3 linked regions of the Rattus norvegicus genome follow. The protein of the gene in region 2 interacts with the protein of the main gene of each other region in a pairwise test. Links are inferred from orthologs where the notes say so. Each region holds a gene or a part of one and is shown on either strand. Other genes may lie near its edges. The genes, in order: Snrnp25, Cpsf7 and Smad3.

The links.
Region 1: the proteins of Cpsf7 (region 2) and Snrnp25 interact in binary tests that used the Homo sapiens proteins (3 or more experiments, as listed by UniProt). The two-hybrid records come from large-scale screens. The link is inferred for Rattus norvegicus from reciprocal best matches to the Homo sapiens genes CPSF7 and SNRNP25.
Region 3: the proteins of Cpsf7 (region 2) and Smad3 interact in binary tests that used the Homo sapiens proteins (3 or more experiments, as listed by UniProt). The two-hybrid records come from large-scale screens. The link is inferred for Rattus norvegicus from reciprocal best matches to the Homo sapiens genes CPSF7 and SMAD3.

The regions. Positions count from the first base shown.
Region 1 is NC_086028.1:15,921,443-15,931,696, reverse strand, and holds Snrnp25 (U11/U12 small nuclear ribonucleoprotein 25 kDa protein), read left to right. Parts: upstream 1-3,444; 5' UTR 3,445-3,623; coding exon 3,624-3,665; intron 3,666-4,511; coding exon 4,512-4,602; intron 4,603-4,690; coding exon of another isoform or gene 4,691-4,915; exon of another isoform or gene 4,916-5,237; coding exon 5,238-5,343; intron 5,344-6,147; coding exon 6,148-6,222; intron 6,223-6,488; coding exon 6,489-6,546; 3' UTR 6,547-6,765; downstream 6,766-10,254. Other genes in the region: Rhbdf1 (inactive rhomboid protein 1), read right to left, coding at 7,710-8,129, 8,303-8,456, 8,564-8,664, 8,733-8,808, 9,019-9,113, 9,507-9,570, 9,690-9,790.
Region 2 is NC_086019.1:216,589,425-216,599,764, forward strand, and holds the start of Cpsf7 (cleavage and polyadenylation specificity factor subunit 7), read left to right. Parts: upstream 1-3,365; 5' UTR 3,366-3,427; exon of another isoform or gene 3,428-3,453; intron 3,454-3,563; exon of another isoform or gene 3,564-3,701; intron 3,702-4,034; exon of another isoform or gene 4,035-4,059; 5' UTR 4,060-4,114; coding exon 4,115-4,168; intron 4,169-9,945; coding exon 9,946-10,164; intron 10,165-10,295; exon of another isoform or gene 10,296-10,340. Other genes in the region: Sdhaf2 (succinate dehydrogenase assembly factor 2, mitochondrial precursor), read right to left, coding at 3,159-3,194.
Region 3 is NC_086026.1:73,125,307-73,135,648, reverse strand, and holds the start of Smad3 (mothers against decapentaplegic homolog 3), read left to right. Parts: upstream 1-3,324; 5' UTR 3,325-3,526; coding exon 3,527-3,732; intron 3,733-10,342. UniProt on the Homo sapiens protein: Receptor-regulated SMAD (R-SMAD) that is an intracellular signal transducer and transcriptional modulator activated by TGF-beta (transforming growth factor) and activin type 1 receptor kinases.

The sequences.
Region 1 (10,254 bases), on a different chromosome or scaffold from region 2:
TCCATATAAATCTTTTCACACACATACATTATATCCACATACACATATATAATCACAGGCAGGTGTGGCAGCACACACCTGCAATCCCAGGGCTCTAAAACTGAAGCAAGAGGGTGACAAGTTCCAAGCCATCCCGGGTCACCCATCTTAAAAAACAAAGCAAGGGTCTGAGGCTGTCGCTTCGCTGCTGAGTCTTGGCCAGCATGCCTGAGGCCCTGCTGCAATCCTTGGCGCCATATAACACAGACGTGGGCCACGCTTACAGCCCCAGAACTCAGGAGGCAGGAGCGAGCTTCAGGTCAGCCCAGGGTAGAGATCCTGTCTCAAAAACACAGAAACAAAAATCACCATCCTCCAGAGAAATAAAGCAGAATCTAGAGTCTCGGAAATATCAGTCATTCCTAATTTTCAAGATAAAAGCAAGATTATTAGATATAGAAAAGAAGAAAAAAGAGTCGAACATTTGTTGATGAATGCCTTTAATCCCACGGCTTGGAAGACAGAAGCAGACAGATCCCTGTGAATTCGAGGCCAGCCTGGTCTACAGAGTGAGCTCCAGGACTGCCAACGCTACAGAGAAACCCTGTAGTCCTGCATGAGGAGCCAGAGTCAGGAGGCTCACAGATGCATTATTATAATTCTCCTCCACATAGTGACCAGCCCGGGCTACATGAGACCCTGTCCCAAAAATCAGAAAGAAGGAAACGGCTGAGACGATAAGAGGAATCTATCATACTCAAAGCACTAACTGCAACAGATCTTCGTGTTGTAAACCCTCAGAGTCCTGATGTAAACCTTCCTCGAGGCCTGCACTCTGTGTTATTTTTACTAATTATTACTATTGTCGGTAGTTTGTTGCTTCTTGACACCTCAGTATGTAGAATGAGCAAAGCCGTCTGGGCTCTCAGTTCGTTGGCCGAGTGGATGTGCATCTCTGTGCAGTTTCCCATGGTTCAGCACCTAATACACAATGGGGGTTTCATGTCAGAGAGGTGATACGTCCTTCTGGATCACCCAGTGGCCCCTGAGGGACAGAGCCAATAGAACACATTCATAGTCAATGGGGTTACAGAGTGAGAATTTTGGCTTTTTAAAAACACAGAAGTAGGGGTTGGGGATTTAGCTCAGTGGTAGAGCACTTGCCTAGCAAGCGCAAGGCCCTGGGTTCGGTCCCCAGCTCCGAAAAAAAGAAAAGAAAAAAAAAAACAAAACAAAACACAGAAGTACGGGCTGGAGAGATGGCTCAGCAGTTAAGAGTACTGCCTGCCCTTCAGAGGTCCTGAGTTCAATTCCCAGCACCCACACAACCATCTATAGTGAGATCTTGGGCCCTCTTCTGGCATACAGGTGTACATGCATTAAATTAAATAAATTAATACATTAAATACATTGAATTATCTCATACATTAATTTTTTTAATCTAAAAAAAAAAAGACCCCAGAAGGCGTGGGGGAGGGGCTACTTCAGATTCTCCAGCAGCTGATGGTGATTTGCCTCCTACTCAGACAGGGGCTGTGGCTTTGCCAGCTGCAGATGGTTTCTGCGAGTGTGTGACATCTGGAATTCTGGGGACTTTTCAGAGGGTTTATAAATGCCAGGGCCCTGGTAGAGGGAATTCTGGTTGGCTGGTTTGTGGTTTTATGCTGTTGGTCACGTTCTGTTGCAGTTTGTCAAGTAGTTATGTGCGAAGAGAGAAAAAGGAGAAAGTGGATGTCCTGATGAGGAAGATCAAACTTGCCCCCAAAGAACTGGAAGCCCCTAGTCAGCAGGACGTAATCTAACAATATCGACAAGAAAAATGTCACAGACAAGAGATAAATCATGCTTACTTAGGCCCACATTAATCTATACCTTAGATTTTCTGTTTATTTTGTTTTGAGACAGGGTTTCCCCCAGGTAACCCTGCTCCTCTTACTTTCTTCTTTATCTCTGCTTGTGGACTTTAAACCATTTCTCCTGCCTCAGTCTCCCCAAGTGCTAGGATTAGAGGCACACAACAGGTTTGGCACGGGAGTTAGAGTTAGAGTTTTAAATAGGGTAACTATCATTGAGAGAGAGAGAGAGAGAGAGAGAGAGAGAGAGAGAGAGAGAGAGAGAGAGAGGAAGAAGAAGAAGGAGGAGGGAGGAGGAAGAGGGGGAGTGAGATGGGGGAGAGAAGGGAAGGGAGTGGCGGGAGGGAGAGGAGGAGGGGAAGGAGAAGAAGGGGGAAGGGGAAGGAGGCAGCACTGGCTGCTGCTCTTCCAGAGGACCCAGTTCAATTCCTAGTATTCACAAGATGGTTCACAAGTGTCCATAACTCCAGTTCTGGGGTATCTGACACCCCCTTTTGACCTCTGGGACTATTGCACACCCATCATGCCCAGAAGGAATACATGCAGATAAAACACCCATACACAGAAGATTTAAAAAGTGAGACAAGTGGCTAAAGTAGCTATCCAGGGAAACGTGACGGGGGCAAAACAAAAGCCCTCAGTGCTGACTCCACAGCGTCCTCATAACAACAGTTGTTGCAGTGACTGGTGGTGTAAAAAGAGCAATAGGAAGAACACGAGGACTGTAGATCATGGCACCTCCGCCCTGGACAGCTCCAAGGACCACAGGTCCCGCCTAGATTTTTTTTTTGTTTTGTTTTTGTTTTTAGACCGGGTTTCTCTGTAGCCCCGGCTTTCCTATACAGACCTAGCTCTCGACTCAGATAGAGATCCACCTGCCTCTGCTTCTGCCTCTGCCTCCTGACTGCCAAGATTAAAGGTGAGCGCCACCACGCCAAGGCTCCACCTCACTTTTTATTCTTATTATCTTTTTGTTTTGTTTTTGAGACAGGGTTTCTCTGTATAGCCCTGGCTGTTCTGGAACTCACTTTGTAGACAAGGCTGGCCTCGAACTCAGAGATCCACCTGCCTCTGCCTCCCAAGCGCTGGGATTAAAGGCGTGTGCCACCACTCTCTGGCGACTCCACCATGACCGGCTTCCTAAGGTGGACCTTTCAAGCCACTTTTTGGAATGGAGCCGGAGGTAGAATCTCGGTCGATTGCGACCTGGCTGGCAAAGGCAGCGCCCAGGCTGCAGGAGGCGCCCACCTCCCAGCGTCACTTTGTAGAGTGATGCTGTACACGGGCACGGGTGTCTTGCGCAAAACGGGGTCCGGGCATCTTGTGCGAAACGATAGCAGTGCTGGCCTTCCTTAACGACCATTCCGTAGAGAAGAGCAGTCTGGCCATAGCTCAACCCCGGAGGACCATAGCTCAACCCCGGAGGACCAGACTGCTCGTAGCTCCTCGGCCGCTCGCACCGTGCAACGTGACCTACTCTATCCGGCCAATAACCTGCTGTCTGCTGGCTCCCCTTCCCTGAACTCGCACATTTCATTGGTTACGGAAGCCACGCAGTGAACCAATGGCTGAGCTATCTCGTCTGGGCGGAGCACAGTTACTGCGCACGCGCCTTTTGCCTTCCTACCTAGAAGGCAAGGCCGCCTGGAGGAGCGCCGGAAAAGCAACAGACTGGCGGCCCTGGAGAATCCGGAGACTGAGGTTCGACCAGAGGTGCCTGAGGACGACGAGGATGACGAGGAGACATTGCCCCATTCCGAGGCTGTGGACGTGTTCCAAGAAGGTCTCGCTATGGTGGTGCAAGACCCGCTGCTCTGCGACCTTCCGATCCAGGTGCACAACCGGGCTCGGGGGTGTGGACGGGCACTGGTGGTCCCGCCAGCGAAAGACGCTTCTGCGCGTAAGCGTAAAGCTTAGGGTGAGGAACCCCAAAACACTCCCTCTTAGCCGTGAAGTTTGAATTAAACAAACACTAAGATTTTAACTCAATTATCAGTGAGTGTGACTAGCCTTTAACTTGCCTGAAACTTTTTTTTTTCCTCTTTTCTTTTTTTTTCGGAGCTGGGGACCGACCCCAGGGCCTTGCGCTTGCTAGGCAAGCGCTCTACCACTGAGCTAAATCCCCAACCCTTGCCTGAAACTTCTAATATGCGTGGCTTAGTAGTTATTTAATGTAATTTTTAACCTTGCCAATCAATGGTGTCCTTATTTAGCGTCTCTGTGCTCACAGAACTAGGGGCCAAACCTAGAGCCTTTCGAATGCTAAATAAATACTCTACCACTGAGTTACACAACTTTATTTGTACTTCCCTCGGTGTTTTATTAAAACATCTCTTGAACTGGCTGGACCTTTAATCTCAGCCCAAGAGGCCGAAACAAGGGGATCTCTGTGCGTTTGAGGTCAGCCCGATCCATTTAGAGCTCCAGACCAGCCAAGGTAACCTAGTGGGTCCCTGCCTCAAAACAAAAAGCGTTTTTGTTATCACAAGGTTTTGGTAGTTGGTCAGTTGCGCCCTGCCCTGCCTCAACATGGTCCTGAGGCACAGGCTGGAGCCTCTTGACACAGTACTCTCAGAATCGCTGGGCCCAGTGTTAGTTGAAACTCCTAACACACAGTAGGCAAGCTTGGTTTCCTTTGTTGATGGGGTGTTAAACGAATTGGCATATTCACCTCCCTAGGTTACTTTAGAAGAGGTCAACTCCCAGATCGCACTGGAATATGGCCAGGCGATGACTGTCCGTGTGTGCAAGATGGATGGAGAGGTAATGCGTAAGTACCAGTGTCTTAGTCACTTTCTTTTGCTAGAAAGAGACACTGTGATCAAGGGAACTTATAAAAGAAAATGCTGTCCCCACAGCTTATGGTCGCAGAGAGCTGCAGTCCTAACCGTCACGGCAGAGGGCATGGCAGCAGGCAGACAGCAGGCAGGCAAACGTGGTCCTGGAGCAGTAACTCAAGAGTTTACATCCTGATCCATAGGCATGGGACAGAAGGAGAGTTAATTGCAGTGGTGTGGGCTTCTGAAACCTCAAAGCTTACCCCCAGTGACACACCTCCCCCAACAAGGTCACACCTCCCCTAACAAGACCACGCCCCCAACAATGCCACGCCTCCTAACCCTTCCCAAACAGTTCCACTGGAAAGCAAACATTCAAATATTTGAGTCTGTGGGGGTCATTCTCATTCAAGCCACAACCATACTTCTCTCTTTGAGCCTGGGCTTTCACATCAGCAAGGAATTAGACGAGAGCTAGTCAGTGAGAAACTCAGACCATGTCTGGGTGTGCGTGTGCTGGGACAGTCACCCTGACCAACAGAGCAGAGCCCTGGATTTCTCTTCCATCACCCGGGGCTCTGTGTGTGGCCACCCACATGGATGTTCTCCCATGTTTCCATGGTTACAGCTGTGGTCGTTGTACAGAATGCCACAGTCCTGGACCTGAAGAAGGCTATCCAGAGATACGTGCAGCTCAAGCAGGAGAGGGAAGGAGGTGTTCAGCACATAAGCTGGTGAGTGGGGCAGAAATGCCTTCCCTGTGCCCACTCCTGGGCTTGCAAGGGCACTCTGTAAGGAGACAACTTTCAGCTTTTCATGTGTGTACCACCCAGTGCCCCACTACCAATGATGCGGTGACAGTCCCATATCACGAGAGCTTTCTCATGTCAAAGTGGGGTGATTATGTCTGAGAGTCCTGCCCCAGTGGTCCCTTCACAACATGCCCTTTCACTGACATGGCCCTACCCATGGATAGTGTCACTTGGAGATACCTGACACTCTTTTTTTTTTTTTTTTAAGATTTATTTATTATATATAAGTACACTGTAACTGTCTTCAGACACACCAGAAGAGGGTGTCATATCCCATTACAGATGGTTGTGAGCCACCATGTGGTTGCTGGGTGAACTCAGGACCTCTGGAAGAGCGGTCAGTGCTCTTAACCACTGAGCCATCTCTCCAGCCCGACACCTGACACCTTAATGTCTCCCTAGTTAACAGATGGTATATACCTACCTGTCAGCGGCCCCCTTCCCTCCTCACCAGGGTGCTGTTGGCTCTGACTATTCTATCAGATCAAGTATCCCATTATCTGAAATCCCTCAGTATAGTCTGTCACCTTTTTGTTAGTAAGATGTGTCCGGCGCCTTCTGCAACTGCCTTGGGCCTATGTCATGCAGGGAAAGTGTCCAGAAGGAGAATGTAGTTATCCCAATGCCCTGGGCTATGTGCTGCCAGCCTCTGTCATCCCAGCCGCTCAGTCTACCCACCCAGAGGATTGGGGGGTGGCACATGCATCACCTACGTCCTTCTTGCAGGTCCTATGTGTGGCGGACGTACCATCTGACCTCAGCTGGGGAGAAGCTCACAGAGGACAGGAAGAAGCTCAGAGAGTAAGTCTGTAGGTCTGTGGGATGGTGCCCTGTGCCCCAGCAAATTGCAGTGGTAAGAGGGTCCCTGGCTGGATTGACTGTCCTGTGGGCATTTCCTTGAGACCTCCCATGAAATTCGGGGCAGAGAAACAGCCCTGCTGTTCTCACAGCAGCTGGTGTTGGGGGTGGAAGAACAATATGGCTGCCCTTACTCGATTATTCCTGATCCCTCCTAAGCCCAGGTGAGCCTTCTGGAGGTCAGCCACTACCCTTCCGTCTTTTTCCAGCTATGGCATCCGGAACCGAGATGAGGTTTCCTTTATCAAGAAGCTTAGGCAAAAGTGAACACCAGACACATGGAGCTGACCTTCCCCAGCAAGATGGCGCCCTTTGCTTGTCCTCAGGGGAAAGGGTGTTGGTGTAGCTGCATCCCTGGAGTGCCCAGGTGGAATGTGGGAAATTCCTCTGCCCTTTATTTCCCTTTGAACTTGGCCCGAGGGTCCTATGTGGTTGTGGGCCTGGACTACAGAATAAATATGTTTGCTTTGTATCTTGTAAAAACCAGAAAGCCGTAGTATCTGTGTGGGTGAGCTGGATCTGTCCCATACCAGAGGGAGGTGAGGGCAGAGGTGGCTGGTACTGGGGAGCAGTAAAGTCTCAGGGGCTGCACCTAAGCCCTGGGACCGCACTGCTCACCTCTCTCACTACGGCCTCTCAGCAAGGAGGAAATATACATCGAGCAGCTGTTTCTGCTGCGGGGAAACGGGAGCCTGCAACCCCAGGGCCTGTGGTGACGGTGGCCGCAAACCTCCACCCGCAGGTTCCCGATAGCAGTTTTTCTCCCAGCCTCCGTGGAAAGAGACAGCATGACAAGGAATGAGTTACAGGGGTAGAAGATGCTCCCCACTGTGGGGACACAGCAGGACACCCCAAGATCCATGTTCCAACACTGGCTACCAGCCATCCTACGAGACCTCACAGAGAGGTGAGAGCCAGTGATGTCTTCGACTTAGAACACTGGTTCTCAACCTTCCAAACACTGCGGCCCTTTAATTCAGTTCCTCATGTTGCAGTGACTGCCCCCCAACCCATGAAGTTATTTTGTTGCTACTTCATAACTAATTTTGCTACTCTCTTGAATCGGAACATAAATATTCAGAGATAGAAGTTTGCCAGAGGGGTCATGCCCCACAGGTTGAGAACCACTGACTTGTCGAACTGTATGTCCAAGGCCATCCCCCATGACCCCAGCCAGAGATCAGGAAAGAGTGGCAACCCCGGTCACGTTAGTGGCAGCTAAAACGCTCCCAGTCCATTTATTGACCACCTGAGGTGGTTGTCAAGGGGGGTGGGGGGAGTAGTTAGAAGGTTATCATGGGGACTCGGATGATAATGTCCAGCAGTGTGAGGGTTCAACGGGAGCTCGAGGCACGAGAGGTCAGTGTTCAGGAAGCACCCGTCTGTTCGGCCACAGGAGGCCGGGGTGGCCTGGGGTGTCCACCGCTGGTTCAATGGAGCTGAGCATCCAGCTCGTACTTCTCACAGAACTTGTCTGTGAAGGGGATGCAGGTGAGGAACTCACACCATTCACAGCGCACTGGGTAGAAATAGAAGAGGACCACCAGGCCGGCCAGCAGGCCCAGGAAGACGGCCTGGAAGATGATGATCTGGCAACGCTTGCGGTACAGGTCGAACTTGCCAAAGCTGATGTAAGGCAGGAAGGCAAAGGAAAGGAAGAGGCCGCTGACGAAACCTGAGATGTGGGCGAAGTTGTCGATCCAGGGCAGCAGCCCAAAGGCAAAGAGGAAGAGCACCACGGCCAGGAGCTTGAAGAAGGCACGCCAGGGTCGGGCCAGGATCTGCCAGCTCTGGAATAGCTCCACAAAGAGACAGGCCAGGATACCAAACTGGGAGCCGGCCGGACCTACCTGATGTTGGGGGATGGGAGCCGTAAGCCACTGAGGCTGCACCAGCCCACCCCCACTGCAGAAGCTCATCTTCCTATCCCACCTCTCAGAGTGTACTTGATCTCCGACACAGATGGGGCCATGCTAGACACAGGCACACCTATAGAGGGTCCCCACCCTGAGAAGCATCTTACCTCTGCCCGGTACGGCAGAAAGATGGCGCTGGCTAGATTGCCCGTGACACCGCTCAGCAGGTAGATGATGGCTATGCGGTGCCAGCCTGCCAGCTTCTCCAGGTCCCGCAGGACCGTCATCTGGAAGCAGACGGACACCAAACAGTGCAGGATCCTGTGGGCAGTGAGGGGCACTCAGCAGAGAAGGCGGCTTCCCTTTTGCCTCCAGTCCCACTACTCCTAGGGCATGAGACCACCAGCCCAGCCCCCAGTCCCACTTGCCCAGCGTGCAGGAAGAGGGACAGCCACAGGCGGTAGAACTGGTCAGGCACCTCGGGATTGAGGAAAGGCAGGAGGCCACAGACATCGTCCATGCAGTGCACCTGTGCAGAGGGGCTGGTCAGCCTCCACAGTGGGCGGGGGCGGAGAGGGGCGTGCCCTCAAGGCCTACCTGAGAGCAGAGTGTGGCCTCCTCATGGAAGTAGCCCTTCATGAAGTCACAGTACTCCCGGGAGGTGATCTCACACCTAGAGGGTCACGCCAGGGTTTGGAGGGCGCCCAGCCTGGCAGATGGAGGCTGCTGAGGTCTACGGACGCCTGCCCACTACTCGGGAGGATCTCAGACCCACCCGCCTCCACTGGCCCAGTCTTACTCCTTGTGACTGGGAATCGGGTTATGTCGGGCTTTTATGAGGGAGAAAAGTGCTGCTCTGAGCCAGCTACACGGGAGCACCCACCTGCCCTTGGTGCCGATGCAGCAGGGCCTGCCCGTTATGACACAGTCCATGTGAGGGTGGTTAGTGTGGTTCCCCGCGCTGTTTTTGGTGCAGATCTGGGTAAGAAAGAAAAACAAGAGCCAGGGTCACTTCACACACTCACACACAGAGAGAGAGAGAGAGAGAGAGAGAGAGAGAGAGAGAGAGAGGGGCGGGGGAGGGGAAGGGCACGCCTTTTGGCCTAACCCTTATTGGGAACCGAGACAAAGGTAAGACTCAGATAGAAACCAGGCCTCCGTTGAGTCAAGTAGGTCACACCCAGAGCCCGGGCTGAGCCTTCTGCAAACCAGAATAACGCTCTTTGACCTCTCGTGCCTTCACCTAGTTCCCTTGCCCTGACTCCTTGCTCACAGAGGCAAGCCTTGCCCGACAGGCTGGGCAGAGGCTAGGGCAGTGTGAAGATGCGGGTGTGCCCTCCCCCATTCAGCAATTCGAAGACCCCAGCTCACCGGCCACTTGGTGATATCTTCTGGCCACTCGTGGGGATCCTCAGAGGAAGGCTCATCACACACCCTGCACGAGCCCAAATGGTTAGAGTCTTTGTCCTCAATGATGCCACCCTCCTCACCCAAACAACGAATCCTCTACACCAATGCCACGGGCATTGTAAGAGGGGAATTAGGAGCACTCACCTGGGGTCCTGGTGGCAGACAGAACCAAACTGCCTCTTGTTGCCTGCCAGGTCGGGAGCACTAGGATGAACCGGCCACTTCACCCACACTGCCAACGTAGACTGTAGGGACAGGGGGTCAGCCCCAGTCAGATCCTACCGTCTGCTCAGTTAGCAACAGTCAGGAATCAAAGGCAAGGCCCCGGAACTAACTCCTGGCTCCACACAGCTATTAAGTTAAACTTCAGAAACATGTGGGGAATATTACAAGGTGCCCTAGGGCATAACCGAGGTATAGAGACAGCCTCCGTCCTGAACTAGAAAAGGGACATCAACTATGGTGCCAAAGATGGACCAGTCTTTTACATTTTTCTTTTTTTTTTTAAAGATTTATTTATTATACTTATTATATAGAAGTACACTGTAGCTGTCTTCAGACACCAGAAGAGGGCATCAGATCTCATTACAGATGGTTGTGAGCCACCATGTGGTTGCTGGGATTTGAACTCAGGACCTCTGGAAGAGCAGTCAATGCTCTTAACCACTGAACCATCTCTCCAGCCCCATGCATTTTTCTTTCTTGTTTC
Region 2 (10,340 bases):
ATGGGAGAAAGCCCCAGCACCAGGCCTCTACCTGAGAGGGAAAGGTAAGACTCCTGGAATATCATTCAAACAGCTTCTGCTCTGGCTGAATCTAAGTGCTACAGGAAAGGGCACGTTTCTGTAGCTGTAGCGAACAAAGGTGATGATTTGTACCACATCATTCACTTGCCATGGTCCCCATCCTGCCTTACTGAAGAATGAAAAAACCAAAACAAAAATCCCACAACTCCCAGCTTTTCCCTGGAGATACAGAGCTGGGGTATCCATCTAAAGCTCCAGCTTCTCAAAGGTTGCCTACGGTTTTTATCTCTCTCGTCTCAGAGCAACAACAGGCCATGGCACATTCCAGATGCCTAGGGACCATGGAGACCAAGGGAGTGTTTAGTTTTGATGCAAAGGACCAAGGCAGACAAAGTAAGATAAAATCTAGTATTGTTTAGGAGCCTCTTCCCCATGGTTCAAGAAAGAGTCAACTGTATGGTTAATGTTCTGGAACATGGGGGCTGGCATTGCCCAAGGGACTGGCTGGTTTCTATTTTGAACAACTTGCAACACTAACACAGCCAGCATATTCTAAGAAGTCCAGATAGCCACCAAGAATAAGAAAGCAGAGCAACCAGCTGGGGCATGGTGCCTCATGCCTGTAATCCAAGCACTTGTGAGGCAAGAGCAGGACTACTATGAAGCTGAGGGGCTACAGTACCTGATAAACAGGGGAGCAGGAAGGAGGGAGGCAACACTGAACAACCCGAGTGTTTACAAAGAAACTGTAGCATCACATTGGCACTAGGGAGTTATTGATTATGAACTGATAGAGGAAGGTAAAGGGGCTTGCTGCCAAGCCTAGGGAGCCAAGTTCTATCCCCAGAACACAGACAGACACATATGCATGCACTGTCTTTTTAGACAAACAAAATAATGACTGAAACATCCAAAATTGGGAAAAAAGAAGTGGACATTCAAATTCAAGAAGCCCCCCCAAAAAAAACAGTATCACAAACCTAAGAAGTCCAGACTGACTAAGACATAAATTGTCTAGTAAGTCAGAAATGTGAAGGTACAAATAAAGCCACATGAGGGCACAATGGAAAAGTGGCTATCTGCAAGTCATGGAGTGAGACCACCAGAGAAAACGGTGCTAGCATCTTTGTCCTGGAATTCTGGCCTCCATAACTTTGAGAATATAAATTTCTATTGTAAGGCAGCTCCAGTAAATGAATACAGTATGCTGTAAAAATGCAGTCTCCTAAGCCACACACAGCCTAAGCATTCTGGACCAGCATCTCTAAGAAAAGGCACTTGAAAATGTACTTTTACAACATCTTTATGTGTGCAAGATAGGTGCATGTGGAGAGGTGAGAGGAACACCTCAGGTGCCAGTTCTTGCTTTCCACCTTGCTTTGAGACAGTCTCTTTGTTGTTCTTGTTGTGTGTGCCAGCCTAGCTGGCCTATGAACTTCCAGGGATTCTCTGGTCTCAAGCTCCCTTCTGATCATACTAGCATATGGGCAGGCCCTGAACCAGCTAAAGAACCAAGGATGACCTTAAACTTCCCATCCTCCCGCCACCAACATCAGAGTGCTAGAATTATAGGCACGCATGCCATACATTCTGTGGTATGTGATGCTAGAGATCAAACCCAGGGCTTTCATTCATGATAGGTGTTGTGTAGCAATTTCCTCCAAGATAAAATCCTCCTCCTCCCCCTCCTCTTTTTTTTTCTCCCCCTCCTCTTCCTTTTTCCTCTCCTCCTCCTCCTCCTTCTTATAAAGCCCTAGCTGACCTAGAACTTGACATCTAGATCAGGCTGGTCTTGAACTCAGAGACCCTCCTGCCTTATTCTACTATACCCAGCCAATACATAGGATGCTCTAAAGAACGGTAATAAATATATTCCGTCCTACAGGAATGCTCCTTAAGCTCAGGAAGCAAACAACTTAAAGGCTTCAGAAAGCCTCTGAAACTATACAAGGCCAGCCCCCACTCTTCCTATCCCCCTCCCCCACTCTAGGGCACCTAGCACCCTCTTTAGCTTCAGTGGTACCTGTACACACACACTTAAAACCACCTGTAACTCCAATTCCAGAAAACCCAACACCCTCATCTGGCCTTCATGGCCACCTACACACACGGGCATAACTCACAAAGGCACATAAACATAAATACATATTTTTTAAACTTAAAAAAAATGAATAAAGAAAGAAAATGAAATTGCCTAGCATGCAAGGCTCTGGGTTTGGCATTTAGCACCAACAACAAAATTGTCATATGAGATAAAGAATATTATATATATTAAAGAGTTAGCAAGAAAGAATGAAAATCATAAATACATGTGGACCTAATAGAGCACTCAAATATATGAAAGAGACCCTGACAGAACTGAAGGGGGTGAAAACAAAGATTTTAATGCCACAATTTAATAAGGAATAGAACATCCAGATGGGGGAATCAATATTAGACAACCAGAACAATACTAATTTAAGTATATCTAGCTGAGGTATACAGACATTCCACACAAGAGAGCATACATTCCTCTCAAATGTACGGATGAATATGCCCAGGAGCTCACATGTCGATAAGTTTAAGATAAACCATATCAACTAGCTTTCAACACTACTGGAATAAAACCTGAAAATTCTCAAACATACAGACATTTAAGATCAGGATGAGACAGAATGGCGAGCTTCAGGCCAGCCTGAGTAACAAATTAAAACCGGCTTTTAAAAAAGGGAGACGGGGGTTGGGGATTTAGCTCAGTGGTAGAGCGCTTACCTAGGAAGCGCAAGACCCTGGGTTCGGTCCCCAGCTCCGAAAAAAAGAACCAAAAAAAAAAAAAAAAAAAAAAAAAAAAAAGGAGGCTTTCGGGGGAGGTTCGGTAACTCTTCCTGGAGACATAAGTGAGATATGCCTTGAGTCTCGTATGGTAACTGGCCACTTAACTACATAGTATCCAGTATTCTCACTCGAACACACCGTGGGCTAAGTAACCAATGGAAAATGACCTGCATGCTCAGCGGCAGTATGCGCCTCGCCTTGAGGGGACCTTTCCCTGGTTCTGTGGGATGGGTGAATTCTCCCTACAGTCTTCACGGCACAGAGGAGGACGAAACAGTCCTAGCTGCCGCCCGCCCCGAACCCTAAATCTTCGGCTCTCTCACCCGCGCCAGCGTCGGGATCAAGGTGACCACCGCCATTTCTCCCTATAGTACAGGAAGCTAGCAACCGACCCTCTTCCGGGAACTCCGGGCGGCCGATCTAAGGACTTCACCCGTGGAGGTGGACCCCAAGCCGGAAGGCGCGTCCCAGCGTATGGCGGAAGTAGTGGTGCGTGTGACGCCGCCGGTAGGGGGGGCGGGACCTGGGGCGGAGAGCGGTTCGCGCGCTTCGGGCCTAGTCGGGACTCTCCGCGGCCGCCGCCATATTCCCGGTAACGGGGGCGCGCGGCCGGGGGCCGGCGGGGCCGGAAGGAGGGCCGGGGCTGGCGCCGCGGAGGGGAGGGGGTCGGTTGGGGTGGCGGCGGCGGAAGACGGCGGGTGGAGGGAAGCGCGGGCCTCTGAGGGAGGGGCTGAGATCCTGGAGCTGTGGGAGGGAGCAGGGCAGGCCTAGCCGAGAGCGAGGACCGGGCCGGGTTGGAGTGGAGGCGGCGGGAGCTTCCGGGCCCGCAGGGGGCTCCGGCTTGGGACGCCCCCTGGGTCTAGCAGGTGCGACGGGCTGAGCTTGCGGCGTTGGTCGCAGTGGTTCTTCACAGCGCGGCCCGAGGGCCCTCTCAAGAGTCGAGGCCTGCCTGGACTTGGCAGTGGCGCCATAGGCAGCTACGGGCGCCGACTCGGCGCATCTCCGGTCGGGCCCGCGGGTGATGGGCAGCGAGCCCCGCGAGCCCGAGCGGCCTGGGAGAGCAGGGGGCGGCGCGAGGCTGGGGGCGGGGCGGAGCGGGTGGGGCCAGGCTCGGGGCTGCCGGGATGCTGCCTCTCGGGAGACTAGAGGTTGTTGACCCTTGCCCTCCTCCCAGCCTGGGACCCTTGTGTCTTAAAATTTTTTACCCTTTTCTGAATACCGTAGTGGCATCTTTCTTACTTTGTCCGTTCTCCGGGCTCGAGAGCGTGTTTCCGGAGCCATGTCAGAAGGAGTGGATTTGATTGATATATACGCTGATGAAGAGTTCAATCAGGTGAGAGGAATTAGCAGCAGTTTTGGGTTTTCTTCGGTCAAATCTACTGACAGTGGTTTCTCTCTCACCACAAAATAATTCCTTTTAGTATCGAAGCGTTTCCCCCTAGCGGAGACTTTGAAGACGACTGACCATTCCTCTTTATGTTAATTTGAACCTCCAGGCTTCAATTTTAAAGGGTTTGCTTTAAGAGCAAATAAAAACCCAAGTGTAATAGAATGGTGAATCAGCCTGTGGAATTGTTTCCCCAAGTCATTCCAAAGTTGGATGAGTAACCATAATTAAAAATGAAAATTACATTTGTTGCAGTATTGCGGGGATAATTTTGATACTTGTTACTTTGCAGTTCTTTCAGCTTGCGGCTCCAGCATGTTAGTCCCTCCCCCTTCTTGTCCCCTCCCAATGGTATAGACAGTACGAGAGATAACTTTGAAAGACGGTATATCAACTGCGTTAAAGATGGGAGTTCTAGCTCCACTCCAGGTGTTTTCAATCTTTTTAAATCGCTTGACTGAGAATTCTGTGGGCATTTTGGTATGGATGGGAAGGAAGGTAAAAACCATTGGATAAAACTAGTTTAAAGGCAAGTCAAAGATTTGGTCATCCTAGTTTGAATTTGTGTTTTTACATTTTAAATGTCACCTTAAAAAGTAATCTATGAGGTTGAGTTCTTTGATCTTGAGGTCAAAGCTCAACGAAAAGTTTCTATTTAAAACTTTTATCTTTTTTAAATTTTAGTTATATTTTTTGTTGGATTTTTTAAATTTACATTTCAAATGTTATCCCCTTTCCCAGTTTCCTGTCCATAAACCACCTATCCCATCCCCCTTCTCCCTTCTTCTGTGAGGGTGTTCCCTCACCCACCCACCCCTTCCCGCCTCCCTGACATTCCCCTACACTGGGAATGTGGACTCTTTGGGTAGTGATTTAGTCCCTGGGAATTCTGATTGGTTGTTAATGTTCTTATGGGGTGCAAGCTCCTTCAATCCTTCCTCTAATTCCTCCATATCTCAGTTCAGTGGTTGGCTATGAGGATCCTCCTCTGTATTTGTCATGTTCTGGCAGAGCTTCTCAGGAGACAGCTATATCAGGCTCCTGTCAGCATGCACTTCTTGGCATCAGCAATATTGTCTGGGTTGGTGGCTGTATGTATATGGACTGGATCCCCAGGTGGGGCAGGCTCTGAATGGCCATTCCTTCAGTCTCTGCTCCAAACTTTGTCTCCATATCCACTCCTATGAATATTTTTGTTCCCCCTTCTAAGGACTGAAACATCCACACTTTGGTGGTACTTCTTCTTGAGCTCCATGTGGTCTGTGGATTGTATCTTGGGTATTCTGAGCTTTTGGGCTAATATCCACTTATTAGTGCATACCATTAAAACTTTTTTCTTACCTGGGTTCTTTTTAGTACTGTTATTCTTAAGCTAGCTGGTTCTGGTGTATTCCAAAGGGTACACATAAGGACCTGGAAAGAATGGTCTAGACTGCCTAGATTATAGCCTGACTTTGGTAGGCAACAAAAGAAGCTCATATGTCCCATTATTTTATTTTAAATTTTGTGGATGTGAGTGGTTTGCAGGTACCCAAGGAGCCTAGTAGTATGGGGTTCCCTGGAGCTGGTGTTACAAGTAGTTGTGAACTACCTGATGTGGATTCTAGTAACCAGACTCAAGTCCTCTGGACCAACAGAAAGTGTTCTTAACTATTGAGCCCTCTCTCTAGTCTGGCTTTTCTGGGTTTTATGTGTTTGTGTGAGTCAGTCTTTTATCATTTGAAATTTATGGCTTCTTCTTTAACAAGACTCTCTTAGTTCTGTATTACTGAAAGATACCCCCAATTCTAAATATATGTTGTTGACTGGTACTGCAACTAATTCACTTTGGAGAATAGACAGTCGTTGACACATTGGCCATATTTGATATAAAGAAAAAGTAATAAATGGTTTATAAATTAGGGGTCATAGACAAGACGTTCTTGTCCAGTGGTCACTGCTTTGTCAAGATACACATTATTACCCTCAGTAATTTGTTCATTAATTAACTTTTTTATAAAAGGATTTTCTAATCTAAAGCCAAAATTAATGTGTAGACATTTATACCAAGCAGGCAATGTTAATATGGGAAAAAAATGAAGCAAATACAGATTGAATATTTTACATTCTAAAAGTTGAAAAAGGGGTACCCTATCCTCATAAGTTAATTTTTGACAAAGCTGGTTTTAGTGTAATCTGGAAGCTGCTAAATTGTTTAAAAGTCTGAGTAGAGTTGTTAAACATTGGCTTAGATAGAAGTTAACCTGTATGAATTGAGTTTTTGAATGCCTTAAAGGACAGTTACTGGTTTGTTCTGAGCAAGCATATAACTCCCTCAAGAGTACTTTTGTCCCCAAGGAAAATTAGTACATTTACTATGTGGAACCCTGTGGTATTTGCTTCTGAACCCTGGCAGCATGTGCTGCAAAAACCTTTTGCATAGTTATTTTATTGCTGTTATATTGGGAGCCATGGGATTCATACTGTTCAGTTAGACAAGGGCAAACTAAAAGGGTGAGTGAGAACTGCTACTCACCTGAATTTTCTGTTTGTTCCTTCTCATGCTAAGATGGGCTTTATGAATATTCCTGTCAGGGAGGATTTGAACTACTCCTGTAGGATTAATACTGCCAGAGGTGGTGAGGTGTTGGGAGAGAGTGAATCCCTGTGCTGGAAAATAGGTGCCATTTGTGGTGGTTAAAAGTAAAAGTGATGTTAGCTGGGTATGGTGATACATCCCCATAATCCCAGTGCCCTGGAGACTGGGCAGGACTGCTACAAGTTAGAGGCCAGCTTGGCTACAATATCAAACTGTCAGAAAACACACAACAACAGACAGTAACAGTGCAGAATAATGGGCAACTGTGATGGAGGAGAAGGTATTGAGAGCTGTGAAGATGTGAGTATGAGGCCTAAAATTGATGTGGCCTTTTACAAATCAAAGAAAAGGTAACCAACAGTCACGATGGTTTTACTGAGAAAACTATATCCAAGTTAGTTACTTCCTTGGGTCATATACTGAGAAGGAGCTATGAGGTAGGGACATTGAACCTATTGGAGGGCAAAATCAAATTCCTACTAGGAAGTTTCATGATATAACGTAGTTTTCTGTGTGTATCCTTGACAACAAAATTCTTACTGAACTATTTATTCAATATTGAATACATATTTTCATTTTAAACTTAACAAAAATTTTAGCATTGCCACCTATAAAATATGGGTGTGTATTTGATTTTTGCTTCTTTTGTGGGATAGGTGGGGTTTGGGTCTTTTGTTTGTTGTTCTTTAATCTTTTTCTATAGTCCCGTCAGGTAAGACAAGGTTCCTTTCTGTAGCCCTGGTTATCTTGGAACTCACTGTAAAGTAGGCTGGCCTCGAACTCAAGAGATCTGCCTGCCTTTGCCTCCTAAGTACTGGTATTATGCCACCATGTCCAGCTACTGCTAGTTTTTTAGGTTCCATGGCTTGGATGGACCATTGAAACTTTGAACATTCAAATTCATTGGATTTTCTTTTTGAGTGGTAATCTACAAAGAGCCCACTGATTGCCTTTAAGCTAACAGTGTAAAAAGGTTCCTACTGATGTGTTTGCTCCCTAAGTTGAAGTCTTCATACTGGTTCACTGACCCTTTTATTTATTTATTTATTTATTTATTTATTTATTTATTTATTTATTTTAACTAGCCAGTTCTCAGTGATGACTTTTGCCTTATAACTCTCAGATACATTTTTGAATCACAGATACTGCATAAAAGGAATCTTAGTTTGCCAACTTTGAGTATATAAAATATTGTTATTTCCTTATTGCCTTTAAGTTTCATTTGAAATTTTTTTCCTCTTTAAAAGCCTTGGTGGGAGGTATAAAGTCTAGTTATCCTTAATATCCTTAGGGGATTGGTCTCAGAATCTTTCTCTGTGACAAAATCTTCAAGTCTATTTTTAAAAAAATGTTAGTGAGCCTGAAGGTATAGTCCTGTACCCCAGCTGTAAAGCAAAAATTATCACCAGTTCAAGGCAAGTCTTGATAACTTAGCCAAACCCTATCTCAAATTTTATTTAAAAAGAAAAAAGGCTCTAGTACAGTGGTAAAGAGAGACCTTGCCTAGCATATTCATATGCTAGGCAATACCCTTTGGACGAGGTATTTGCATGCAAAATCTTTGTGCATTCCTTTCACAAACTTTAAAAAAAAAATCTCTGGATAATGACCATGCTTATTTTGGCTTTGCTAACAGCAAAATCTAGGGCTTGCCTTTTGCTAGGCAAAATCTCTATCCCTGACCCTTGTATTTTTAATTTTATGTGTTCTGGGTGTTTTGCTTGTATGTATGTCTATGCATTGTGTGTGTATTGCCTTCAGAAGCCAGAGGTGGGCATCAGATCACCTGAGACTGGAGTTATAATTATTTGTAAGCTGACAGTAGTGCCTGGAATCAAACCTAGGTCCTCTGGAAGAGTAGCCAGTGGTTTGGTTTTTTTTTTTTTTTTTTTGGTTCTTTTTTTCGGAGCTGGGGACCGAACCCAGGGCCTTGCGCTTCCTAGGTAATCGCTCTACCACTGAGCTAAATCCCCAGCCTGTAGCCAGTGTTTTTAACCACTGAGCTATCTCTCCTGCTCCCATCTTAAAGAAAATTATAAAGGATGTTTTCAGCTGGTTAGGTCTGAGAAACTGACAGATATGGAGAGCTAAGAATGGCTTCTGAGGATTAGAGTATTGAACAAGATAGAGTCGTCAAGTCTCTTGGGAGGTAGGGTATTTGCTCAGGATTTTGGTGGGTTTTTTTTGTTGTTGTTGTTGTTTTTTTTTTTTTTTTTTTTTTTCTTTTTTTCGGAGCTGGGGACCGAACCCAGAGCCTTGCGCTTGCTAGGCAAGCGCTCTACCACTGAGCTAAATCCCCAACCCCGGTGGTTTATTTTTATTTTTCCATTTGTTTTATATATGGTATGTGTGTTGAGGTCAGAGGACAAAACTTTTTTTTTAACCATGTGAGTTCTGATAATTGAACTCAGGTCACCTCACTGGCTTTTTGGTTTTTCTATAAGATGGTCAGGTACAACCCATGCTGGTCTCAAACTCTGCGAGCTGTCAGCTGCTGATCTTCCTCTACCTCCCATATGCTGGGATGACAGGCACTGAGCCATATCCTCAGTCCTCTACTCCTTTCTCTTTATATTTCTTAGATATCTGTTAGAAAGCTGAAGTTGTATTCTGTGAGCTTGGAAGTTTCCCCAGGTCATTTGTATAAACCAAAGGATAACTCCCAGTTTTTGATTTGTTTGTTTCATTTTGTTGCCTACTCACTTTTGCTTTCTTTCCTCTGCTTTATATTTCTAGATAAATGTACTCTTATTAAATGCAATAATATATAGCTTGATATTAAAAATACATTTTTACTAATATATCTAAGATGTGGTCTTTGATCTGACGTCACTGATCTCATGTATCTCTTTAGTGTATCTCATTCATATTGGTTTGCTTGCTTATTTACTATTTCTTTCATCCTCACAGGAGACTAAACTCAAACTTGCCCATTACAAATAAAATCTTGGAAATCTCATAAGTAATTCTAAGAGTTTCAAATCCGAAGTCTTACATACCCTTTGTCCTAGAGTGGGACAAGGAGATCTTGTGCATTACATTGCTCTACAAAACATTTGACTGTAGGTTCTAAATCAGCTAGAATGAAGCAGAAGAAACAAACTGAAAAGTCTGAAGGCTCCATTATCTATCCCTCATCTTTTAGGACTCGGAGTTCAACAACACAGATCAGATTGACCTATATGATGATGTGCTGACGGCGGCCTCACAGCCCTCGGATGACAGAAGCAGTAGCACAGAACCACCCCCTCCTGTCCGCCAGGAGCCAGCTCCCAAACCAAACAACAAGACCCCTGCAATTCTGTACACATACAGTGGCCTGCGGAGTCGGCGAGCAGCTGTCTATGTAGGCAGTTTCTCCTGGGTGAGCAAGGATAACCAAAAATCTTAAGGGTGGGCTGGAGGGAGAGCACTGGGTGGTGATGGCATTTTCAGAAACCACTGTTGCACTGTTTTGTGCTCTGATGGGGTTGGATTTCTTTTTCCTGGGATCAGGTTGGATTGATCTCTGAAAGAGAACTATCCTGAGGACGTACTGGT
Region 3 (10,342 bases), on a different chromosome or scaffold from region 2:
CTTTAGCACGTGGTATCTTAGGCTCTGACCTGACTGTGTTCTCTATTCCTAGGGAGACACAGCTGCCTCCACCCACGATCCTGAACTTTGCTCTCACCAGGATGAAAAATTAACCGGACTCATGTTTCCCTCCCAAGGACAAGGACAAAGTCTGTACAGCAGGTCTGGCTGGGTCCTAGGAGACCAGGTGCCAGCTGAAGTTCTAACCAATCCTGAGCCACCTACCTATTCACTGCCCAATGTAGAGGGGTCTATTCCTCCCCCATGGGAAACTGGCCCTGTGATGACACTTTCAGTTTTCTTGCAAGCCAGTGGTCCTTATTCCATGGATGCTGACATGGGAGGGGAGGTTCAGAAGTCTTTCAGTCACACCAGTGGGTCTGCCCGGTTATTTCCTCCCCTAAGGGAAATGAAGGGGTGGATGGTGGTCCCTTCTGGTTCTCAATGATGTAAAGGTTCTTCCAAGCTACTGACTCTGCTCCTCCCTTCTCTCCTCAGGGTCCCTCCTTTCCTCTGTGGTACATACAGCTTCCCTCAGACATGGCTTCACCTGTGGGTGAGGTCTTGTCCTGGAGAACAATCTAAGTGTTTCTAATATTCTTTCCAGATTCACCATGCTGTACAGGTAAGAGACTAGAGGCTCAGCAACGTGGAGGACCTGGGCACCTCAGACTCCACCTTGTTGCCTTACTTGGTTTTAGGTTCAGGTTAGAAATATTTTTTGTTGTTGATTTTCTTTTTCTCTTCTCTCTCTTTTTTTTCTCTCTCTTTTTTTAAAATGTTATTTATTTATATGAGTACACTGTAGCTGTCTTCAGACACACCAGAAGAGGGCATCGGTTCCCATTACAGATGGTTATGAACCACCATGTGGTTGCTGGGAACTGAACTCAGGACCTCTGGAGGAGCAGTCAGTGCTCTTAGGTATCTCTGCATAGCTCTGGCTGTCCTGGAACTCACTTTGTAGATGGGATTGGCCTTGAACTCAGAGAACTGCCTGCCTCTGCCTCCCAAGTGCTGGGATTAAAGGTGTGCCACCACTGCCTGGCTAACATTTACTTTTTACTGGAAGATGATTACATAGGCCCCTTTCTGTTCTTCTCTGACCACCTAGCACACCTTCATCCCTGTCCCTTGGTGCTTCTCTGGCTGTGGACTCCTCATGGTTAAGGCTCTTCCTTGTTCACTGCAAATTTCTCAACAAGCAGCATACTTGTGGCTGGAGAAGTGCTGGAGAAGCAGGATTTGAACCATCTCTCCCGGCTATCCTTATTCAGGAATGGGATCAACACTGGTCTCCACTCCTGTCTTGTACTGGACTTCTGCAAAGTCCCGACACCTAGGAGGCAGAGAGCAAAGGGCTATCGTAGTTATGATGCGCCTGTGAGGAAAGCTTTTGCTTTGCAAATTGGGTCATAGCCCCTATACAGCTCTAGGGCCAGTTGGAAGACCTCAAAACCAAACCCAAACAAAAACCTGGGTTTAAATCCTGGCTCTGACCCTTGGGGCTGTGTCTCCCAGGACTTTAAAGGCAGTAGTTGGTGTATCTGTGTGAACATAGCAATTAAGACTGCCCACTTTAATGCCAGTATTTGGAGGCAGAGACAGGCAGATCTGAGACCAGCTTTACAGCACAAGTTCCAGGACAGCTAGAGATACAGTGAAACCCTGTCTTGAAAAAAAAACAAAACAAAACAAAACAAAACAAAGACCTCCTTCCTTATAGTCTCTAGCATCGAGTGGGAAGCTACAGCCACCATCTAATTGGTTTGCAAGGACCGGCCTATCTACTGAGCCTCAGGGGTCTTCCTTTCAGAACTCGGTATCAGGGAGGTGGGAGGAGAAAAACCACAACCCCTGACAAGCTGCGGCTGGCGGTTGGTGGTGGGGCAGCCTCAGGGACAGAGCAGGGGGCCCCTGAAGCTTCTGGGCTGACTTTGTGGGACTGGCCACACTTCATAGGGCTTTGTAACTCGCACCGGATCTTGGTTTGCAAATAACTTGTTTCTCACCACGGGAGGGGTGTGTGTGTGTGTGTGTGTGTGTGTTCGTGCGTGCGTGTGCAAAAACAAGCATAGTCTTTAGGAGCTGAGGGCCTGCTGTAACACCTCAAATCAGTAGAGGGACCGGTGGGTAACCAGCCCTGCATTCGCCCAGTCTGCGGTAAAGCCCTAGAGCTACCCCAAGTCAGGTTCTCTTGGCTTCCCACCTAGGCTAACTTTGAATAAACTTCCTAAGTCCTCCAGGCTTGCTCTATACTTTGTGTGTGTGCTCGCGCGCGCGAGTTCACTGATTTGTAAACAAAAGCTCTCTTACTTGTTTGGTGTTGAATTTCGGATCTTCAGTAACACCCTGTAATGTTAATTCTCCCCCTCCCCCAAAGAAAAATCCTAAAGCGCCCGCATTCATTCCTTCAGGAACGCAACAGATGTCTTTGAGGCTCCTTTTCTGTAAAGAGCTTGGTTCACTGGTCCCAAAGGACCCCTGGCTCCAGCTATTGTTCAAGTTGTCACTGAGGTCTCGTAACTCCCCTTTTAAGTCTCCCTCTCCCGTTTTCCAACTCCCTCCTCAGTAGTCTCAGGCAGTCAGCCGTTCTGATCTCACCCAGCAGGAAAACAAAAACAAAACAAAAAACACCTAAAGCAGCCCCGGCCACTGAGCGAGATCAGCGCGCCTCAACTTCCTGGGCCCCGAGCTTTTTCTGAACCCCTCGCCGCGCCCGGGTCCTCTCCCAGGTGCAGCCAGCCCTTGGCGGACCGTGCCTGTTCCCTGCGAGTCTAATCCTCTCTAGTCCTTGCAACTACATCTGAACGTCTTGGGGGCAGCGAGTCCCCAGGAGTCGGGTCCCGCGGCACTTGGCAGAGCTGACGGCCGCCGTGCCCGGTGGCCCACGTGGGCGCGCTTGGCGGAGCTGGGCGGGGAAGGCCGCGGGTCCTCCCCGGAGCAGGGCGCGGGGGAGGAGCGGGGAGCCCCGGCAGCGAGGGGGCGGCGACTGCGTTGGGAAGGAGGCTGCACGCGGAGCTGCGTGAAACGTAGACTTGGGAGCGGGCGGGAGAGGAGCGGGGAGCACGGCTGCACGGCCCTGGCCGGTCCTGCAAGGCGGCGATCGCAGGGGGAGGAGCAGCAGCGCTGCAGAGGCGGAGGGATCTGCGCACCAAAGCCATCCAGGCCAGCAAAGTTTGGCTGGGGGTTGGACTTTCCTTCTCGGAGGCGGCACCCAAACAGCTACCCCGTGCGGAAACCCAAACTTTCTACTGGCACTCGGAGTCTCGCGGCCGCCGCCTCCGCCCCGCGCGTCCCGGGCCTGTCCGTCAGTCCGTCGGTCCGCGTGGAGCCGCTCGGGCGCCGCCGTGTTCCGGATCCCCGCAACTGCAGTGCCGCTATCCTGGCCGGGACGCCTGGGCAAGTTCTCCAGAGTTAAAAGCGAAGTTCGGGCGCGGCGCAGGCCGAGCTGCCTCTGTGCGCCCCCGGCGTCCCCAGTGCGTCCAGCCCCGCCGGGGGCGCCGGTGACCCTTCCGTGCCAGCCATGTCGTCCATCCTGCCCTTCACCCCCCCGATCGTGAAGCGCCTGCTGGGCTGGAAGAAGGGCGAGCAGAACGGGCAGGAGGAGAAGTGGTGCGAGAAGGCGGTCAAGAGCTTGGTGAAGAAGCTCAAGAAGACGGGGCAGTTGGACGAGCTGGAGAAGGCCATCACCACGCAGAACGTGAACACCAAGTGCATTACCATCCCCAGGTGGGGTCCCAGAGCGGCGAGGGGTGGGGGGACGCGCCGGCCCAGCCCCCTAGCGCGGCCCGGTTGGATAAGGAGGGAGGGTGGGAGGGTGTGTGTGTGTGTGTGTGTGTGTGTGTGTGTGTGTGTGTGTGTGTGTGTGTGTTGGATAAGGAGGGAGGGTGGGAGGGTGTGTGTGTGTGTGTGTGTGTGTGTGTGTGTGTGTGTGTGTGTGTGTATGTGTGTGTGTTCGCGCGCGCCTGTAGGGGACGGAGAGTGGGTGGAGGGACCCCAAACAAAACCTTCGGATTTGTCCAGGCTCAGAGCCCAGGCTTCCGTGCGGCATTTTGGCTTCTAGACCTTAACGATCGCCAGCTGCCTCTGGGCAGCGGGGATGCTTCTGAGCTTGGCCCCCTAACTCTCGGGGCTTCGGGCTCCAAGTGGAGGCCCCGCTTTGTTCGGCTCTGCCGGCCGAGCCCCTCCTCCTCCGCCGCCTCCCGCCCCGGGCTCCTGGAGGTGGTGGCGTGTGTCCCTTTCTTTTCTTCAGCTCTGTTCCCCCATTTCTTTTCCTCGTCTACAGGAATGCAGTCGGTACAGCTGTGGGTGAGGAGCGGGAGCCCGTTGATTGACAGATTCCTTCTTCGCTCTTTCTTTGCCTTGGGATTAGCATTTTTACTGAGTATTTTTAGATTTGGTTGTGCCAGCCTCCCGCCCCCTGTGCACGCATGCACGCACGCACTTAGTTAGAGAGCAGAGCACCGACTTTGAAGCGGGAGAAACAAGTGGCAGAAAGTAGGGGCTTTCCCTCTTCCCACCCCACCCCTGCTGGTTTGCGATCTTTTAAATCCAGGGTATTCTGGTGCCTAGAATCGAGCAGGCAGCTCCAGGCAGATAACAAAACACCCTAGGGCTGGCCTCCCATCGGCCCTGCATTCCTGTAGAGCCTCTTTTCCCAAAGCGCTTTGCCATCTGTCCTGACCTCCTTTATCCTTCCCATCGGGCTAGAGGAGTCGGGCGGGAGCTCACAGATGGCTGATGGAAGGGGTCAGTGACTTCGCTCCCAAGGCCTTCTAGAGCATAGTCGCGTCTGGGCAATGGGGTGAGAGCACTTTAGTCTTCTGGTTTTGTTTTGTTTTTTCCTTCTCAGACACCTTTAAAGACTGATTCCAGATGAGGGGCAGGTGGGAATGTTTGGGGACGTCCCTGGCTGCAGAGGGATGGGGGGAGGGCTCCCAGGACCTACACTAGTAGAGGTCATCACTGTTCTGGGTCCTGGTAGCTTCCATCCTTGGCCACCTGCTCAAGGCAGCTGTGTATGGGCTGCCAGCCCTGATAGTAAGGCACAAAACAATGTCTGTCCACAGGGACCTAGGGTTGGCCTTCCTTGGAAATAAACACCACATATGGTGGGAATGCCGACTTAAAAAAAAAAAAAGAAACCAAACAAAAATAAAAGTCTTATCAACTCCAAACCTGAGTGGGTGGATCCTACTGAAGAGGGAAGGCTGTGTGTTGTCTGCTCGGCCTCTGAGCCTCTGCCAGCCGGCTTCAGGGGACCTGGTGTGATGTGGTGGTTTTCTCCGGTTTCCCCTTCTCCTTTATCGTTTCGATGGAGCAGGATGGTTGAGTTTCATAGGGCTCTGTCAGATCTGGAGACGCAGCCTTTTCCCAATCTGCCTGGGTGCACCCAGCCCAAGCGCTTTCTGTTCTGAGCCCTCCTCCAGAGCTATCAACTACGAAGCTGCAGAGTGTTTCACAATTTACAAGGCACGAACGTGCCTGGAGGACAACAGAACCGGGACACAGAAAAGGCACGGAGGTCTAGAACGATCTTGCTTTCAAAGTGACAGAACTTAGAGAGGCAAAGCATTCGACTAGATCTGGCGTACCCTTTCTCCCAGGTTGTTTTGTCCGGGGTGGGTAGTAGATCTCTTCTGCCTGCAAGGCTCTTGGTTAATCTTTGGGCTGGGGGCAGCTTGGAGGAGAGGCTGTGCCTTCCTCACCGGCAGGTAAAAGTTAGTGTGGTACTGAGAGTTCAGGCTAATGCCTGTGCTCCCAGCCTCCTAGGACTGGGTACCTTCAGCCTGGGCCTAGGAGGCCAGGTAAGGAAGCGGGGTGTTCATTCGTTGGCTCTTTGGCTGCAACCGATGACCGAACCCAGGGCTTCCTGCATGTTAGGCAAGCCCTCTGCTGCTGACCTACCCTCCCAGGCCTGGGATTCTTTTCTTTCATCTTTTCTCAACTAGTGAGACCCAGTTGCTTGGGTGGATCCAGACAAAGGTGGATTTCCATCCCTGGATTTTGTGCCCACGCCTCTGGGTCACCCTGTCTCCCTTGGCAACAGCTGCTGCTGTTTTGGCCATGGGCAGAAAGCTAAAGGCCACGTCTTGGGGAGGCGACTAGTTGGCTTCCTGCTGGTGCGATCCCTGTGTCTGCTAAGCCCAGGGCTTGTGTGTTGCTTGTCACATTGCTGCCTTTGAGAACTAGGGCTTTGGAAAGCAGACAAAGGAAAGTGTGTGACTTAGTCACCCGCTTCGTGTGGGGCGGGACACTGGGTGCCTTAGTACATTCTGTCAAATCTGGAGCTGGTCTTTGAGGACTCTCTGTCTGAGATGTGAAACAGACATCTTGAGCAGCAGTGGCACCTTTTGGCTATGGTAGCTATCTGCCCCATGCTGGCTTCTTTTTCCCAGCTTTAGGCACATTCAGTGACCAGGGGAACTGGAGTGATACAGGCTTGCTTCCCTTCACAGAGAGGCGGTGTGGGAGTTTCGCTTTACTCCACAGAGCAGTGAGCGGGGCATCTCAGATCTGGCAGGGGTGGGGCAGAGCCATGCCAACAGCCCACTCCCCCCTGCTTGAGCATCTGAGAGGAGACACAGGTGTCTCCCTCTCCAGTTCCTAAAGGAAAGCTGAAGCACCCGCCTTTGAGAGAGACAGGTCAGCGCAGCGGTTAGCCTTCACTGGATCAAGCAGAAGGTCTCTCTGGTTTAGAAGGGATCTTGGTTACAGAGCACCAAGTCCAGAGGGAAAATCAAGAGGTGAAGTAGGTTTTACAGGAAGCACTCCTCCCTCCTTTGTTCACTCCCTTTGTAGTATGACCTCCTCCTGGGGCCTCCAGGGACTTTGTTAGACTACCCTCAACTAGTGGAGAGAGGAAAAGTATCTTTACTTGTAATAGCTTCTGGGGACAGAAATACCAAGGCTGTAGATAATGCCTGATAGGTCTCAGGCCAATCACCGTGGTGTAAACCGTTGGCAACAAGCCTCCTCTTAGCATGTAACCCATCACGACGGAGGTGAGGGTTGGGGGATGGGGAGAGTGTGTGTGTGTGTGTGTGTGTGTGTGTGTGTGTGTAGGCGCTGCAGAACAGCAGATAGCTGACTAGAGGGCTGACCAGAGTCAGTAGTCTCTGGTTGCAGGAACTTTGACCTTTGCTGCTTGGTCCCAGGGCAGAATGTTTGCATCCATATTTTCTGCAGACAGCCTTTTACTCTCAGTTTCTAATCAGGGAATATAGGACTGTTTCTTGTGTACTCAGTGATATTACCCAGACTCATGAGATATGGTCTCTGCCCCGGTGTTATTCGCCCTAGAGAGGGATGCAGAGATATGTTTGAGAAGATGGGGGGTTTTGGAGGTTGGCAGTGCTGTGGGGAAGGTGAGTGTGATACGTGCTTTACCGTGAAGCACAGCAGCAGAATAGCAAACAGTGGCAGCCACCTGCTTTCTCTGGGGAAGATAAATCCTACCCAAGCCCTGGAGTTCAGGTCCCTGCCTGGATTTAAAATCATCTGTACTGTATCACTGTGCTGATTGATTGATTGATTGACTGTGTGCACGTGTGGCTCCAGGAGTGTTTGCAGATGTACTGGGGAGATTGTTTGTACGTGTGTGTGTGTGTGTGTGTGTGTGTGTGTGTGTGTGTGTGTGTGTGTGTTTGCCCTGTGTCCTCGTTCATCACTTTGATGGTGGGACTTATTCACTTATCAAGTGCTTGCTGAGCTGGCAGGAGCTGGGCACCCGCTCTCAAGGAACTCAGCACCAGGACAGAGGTGGAACAGTGCTCTGGGTGGGACCAGCATGTGTGTGTGGGAGGTTGGTGTGTGCTGGATACCTGGTTGGGGTGATGGTCGGAGGAGTTTGGACTGTATGGAGCTCCTGGGAACTTGGCCTTTGGTTTATTACTATTAGTGTATGTTCATTGTACAAACCAGACTTCTTCGTGACATTTTAGAGTCTTGTATTTTGCTCATACTTACCGCCCCTTACACCCTGCTCTCTCATCCGGTGCTGGTTTCCTTATAGTCCCTCTTCTAGTTTCATGTCTTACACATATTTTTAAAAACTCTAGATTCTGCATATGTCAAAAGGCGCACTATGTCTCAATGTGATTTTTGCTTAACATTGTCATCCCCAGTTCTACCCATTCTCCTTGAAACATTTCCCCCACCCTCTGTGCGTGCGTGCGTGCGTGCGTGCGTGCGTGTGTGTGTGTGTGTGTGTGCCTGTCTGTCTGTCTGTCTGTCTGTCTGTCTGCGTGTTATGTGTCTGTGTTTGTGTGAGCGTGTGCTTGTTCGTGTGTTGGGACCTGAGGACAGTTGTCTTGCATGACACTTTTATCTGCTGGGCTTTTGCCAAGCACACAGCTGCTGTGACTCTCTTACCTGTCACTTGCACAGAAGGGCCTATGAGCTGAGTGCTGTCTAGGACCCAACTCTAAAGTGTTTTCTCTTTGAAGTAAAGGGCAACTTAGCGTGGTGACAAACCTGAAATTCAGGTTTTCTCAGTGGGAGCAGGAACTCTAGCAGGGGCCTGTGGGCGCTCACCTTAACTTTTGGTATGACTTGGCTTTTCATGTCTCTCATGACATGCTGGGGGAAAAATTCCATTAACCCCAGTTTCTGAAAAGACATTAGAACCTTTACTAGGTTCTTTTAGAAGTCTTTGCAAGGACGTAAACACTTTAAAGTGCTTTGTTTATTTATGTGCATGTGTGTATATGCATGTGAGTGCAATGTTCACAGGGATCAGAAGGGAAGTCACCCCCAGATAGAGTGACAGTCAGTTGTGAGACATCCCACCTGCTGCTGGAGTCTGATCCCCATCTTCTGTTAGAGCAACATGCGCTCTTAATGGCCTAGCTATCTTTCTACCATCTCAAAAAGTTATTTTTACTTTGTTTGTGAGTGAGGGTACATGCGTACCATAGCTTATATGTTAAGGTCAGATGATGACTTCTGAGAGTTCGTTCTCTCTACTGTGAATTACAGGCATTGAACTTGGGCCATCAGGTACATGGTAAGAGAGTTTACCTGCTGAAACATCTTGAAGGTCCTGGACATAAACATTTAAATGACCATTTTAATGACAGAAAAAAAATGGATGAGTGGAATCATCGTTTAGTTTTGATGAGACTTGCAAGAGGTTGATGACAATGGAGAGAATTAGGTTTGAGCTTATCACATCAGGACTCTAATTAAAATGAGTTTTTGAAAAATAAATATTGGTTTAATAATGCAAACTTGCAATTGCTGCTGTATTATAATGGAAATAAAATTAACAGAATTTGATGGACTGAATGACTATTAATTTCCACCCATTAATTTATTAGGCGAATTTAATGCCATCTGGTGCTCTGCACAGCTATTATTCTTGGTGTGCCTCGGTGGAATAAATAGGGCTGGGCGGGGCTTGCTCATTTGAAATGAGACTATATTCTCTTATGGTATCCCCCTGGCTCTTGGTCTCCCAGAAGCCCTCTCTTAGAGTCAAATTTCCAAGGTGGAAAGCAACAGGATCTTGAATATTTAGTTAATGTCTGTTCCGATCTCCTTTTCTGTACTGACTGATGTATTAACTGTCTTTCTTGTTATTGTACAAAAAGATCCCTACAAAAGCAGCGTAAAAGGGAGGAAGGGCTTAATTTGACTTGCAGCTCAGGTGACAGTTTATCAAGGAAGCAGGAGTTTGGAGTGACTGGTCACGTGACATCCGCCTCAGGAAACAGAGCGAGATGGATGCTGCTTCTCACTTTATTTAGTCCAGGACACCTGCTGCCCACAGTTAGAGTGGGTCCCCTCAACTCAGTGAACCCAACTGAGAAATTCCCTTACAGACATACCCAGAGCTTTGTTTTCATGGTAATTCTAAATTTCATCACCTTGACAATCAAGACTAACTATGACAGCAGTTAAACACACACACACACACACACACAAAAACCCCAAGGATAAACCCCATTTGTTTTCCCTAAATCATGTCTGATAGTCTTGGTGGATACAAGGCTGCTCATGGGGTAGGAGGTAAGGGGCAGTTTAGCATCTCCATCTTCCCTCAAGCACAGGGGTTCCTAGAAACAGTAACAAATTGGCCTGGGGAGCTTTTTATTTATTACTTATTTGTGTGTATGTATGTGTGGGGTACCATGTGCCACAGGATGCACATGTATGTCAGAGTACAGTGTGAGTGAACCAGTTATTTCCTTTTACCACTTAGGTCCTGGGGATCAAACTCGGGCTTTCAGGCTTGGTGGCAAATGCCTTTGCTCCCTGAGCTCACTCCCCAGTCCAGGAGTGTGGTTTCTGCAACAAAGAAGTGTCTAGGAGGCCTTGTCTAGTTTGTTATTGTTTC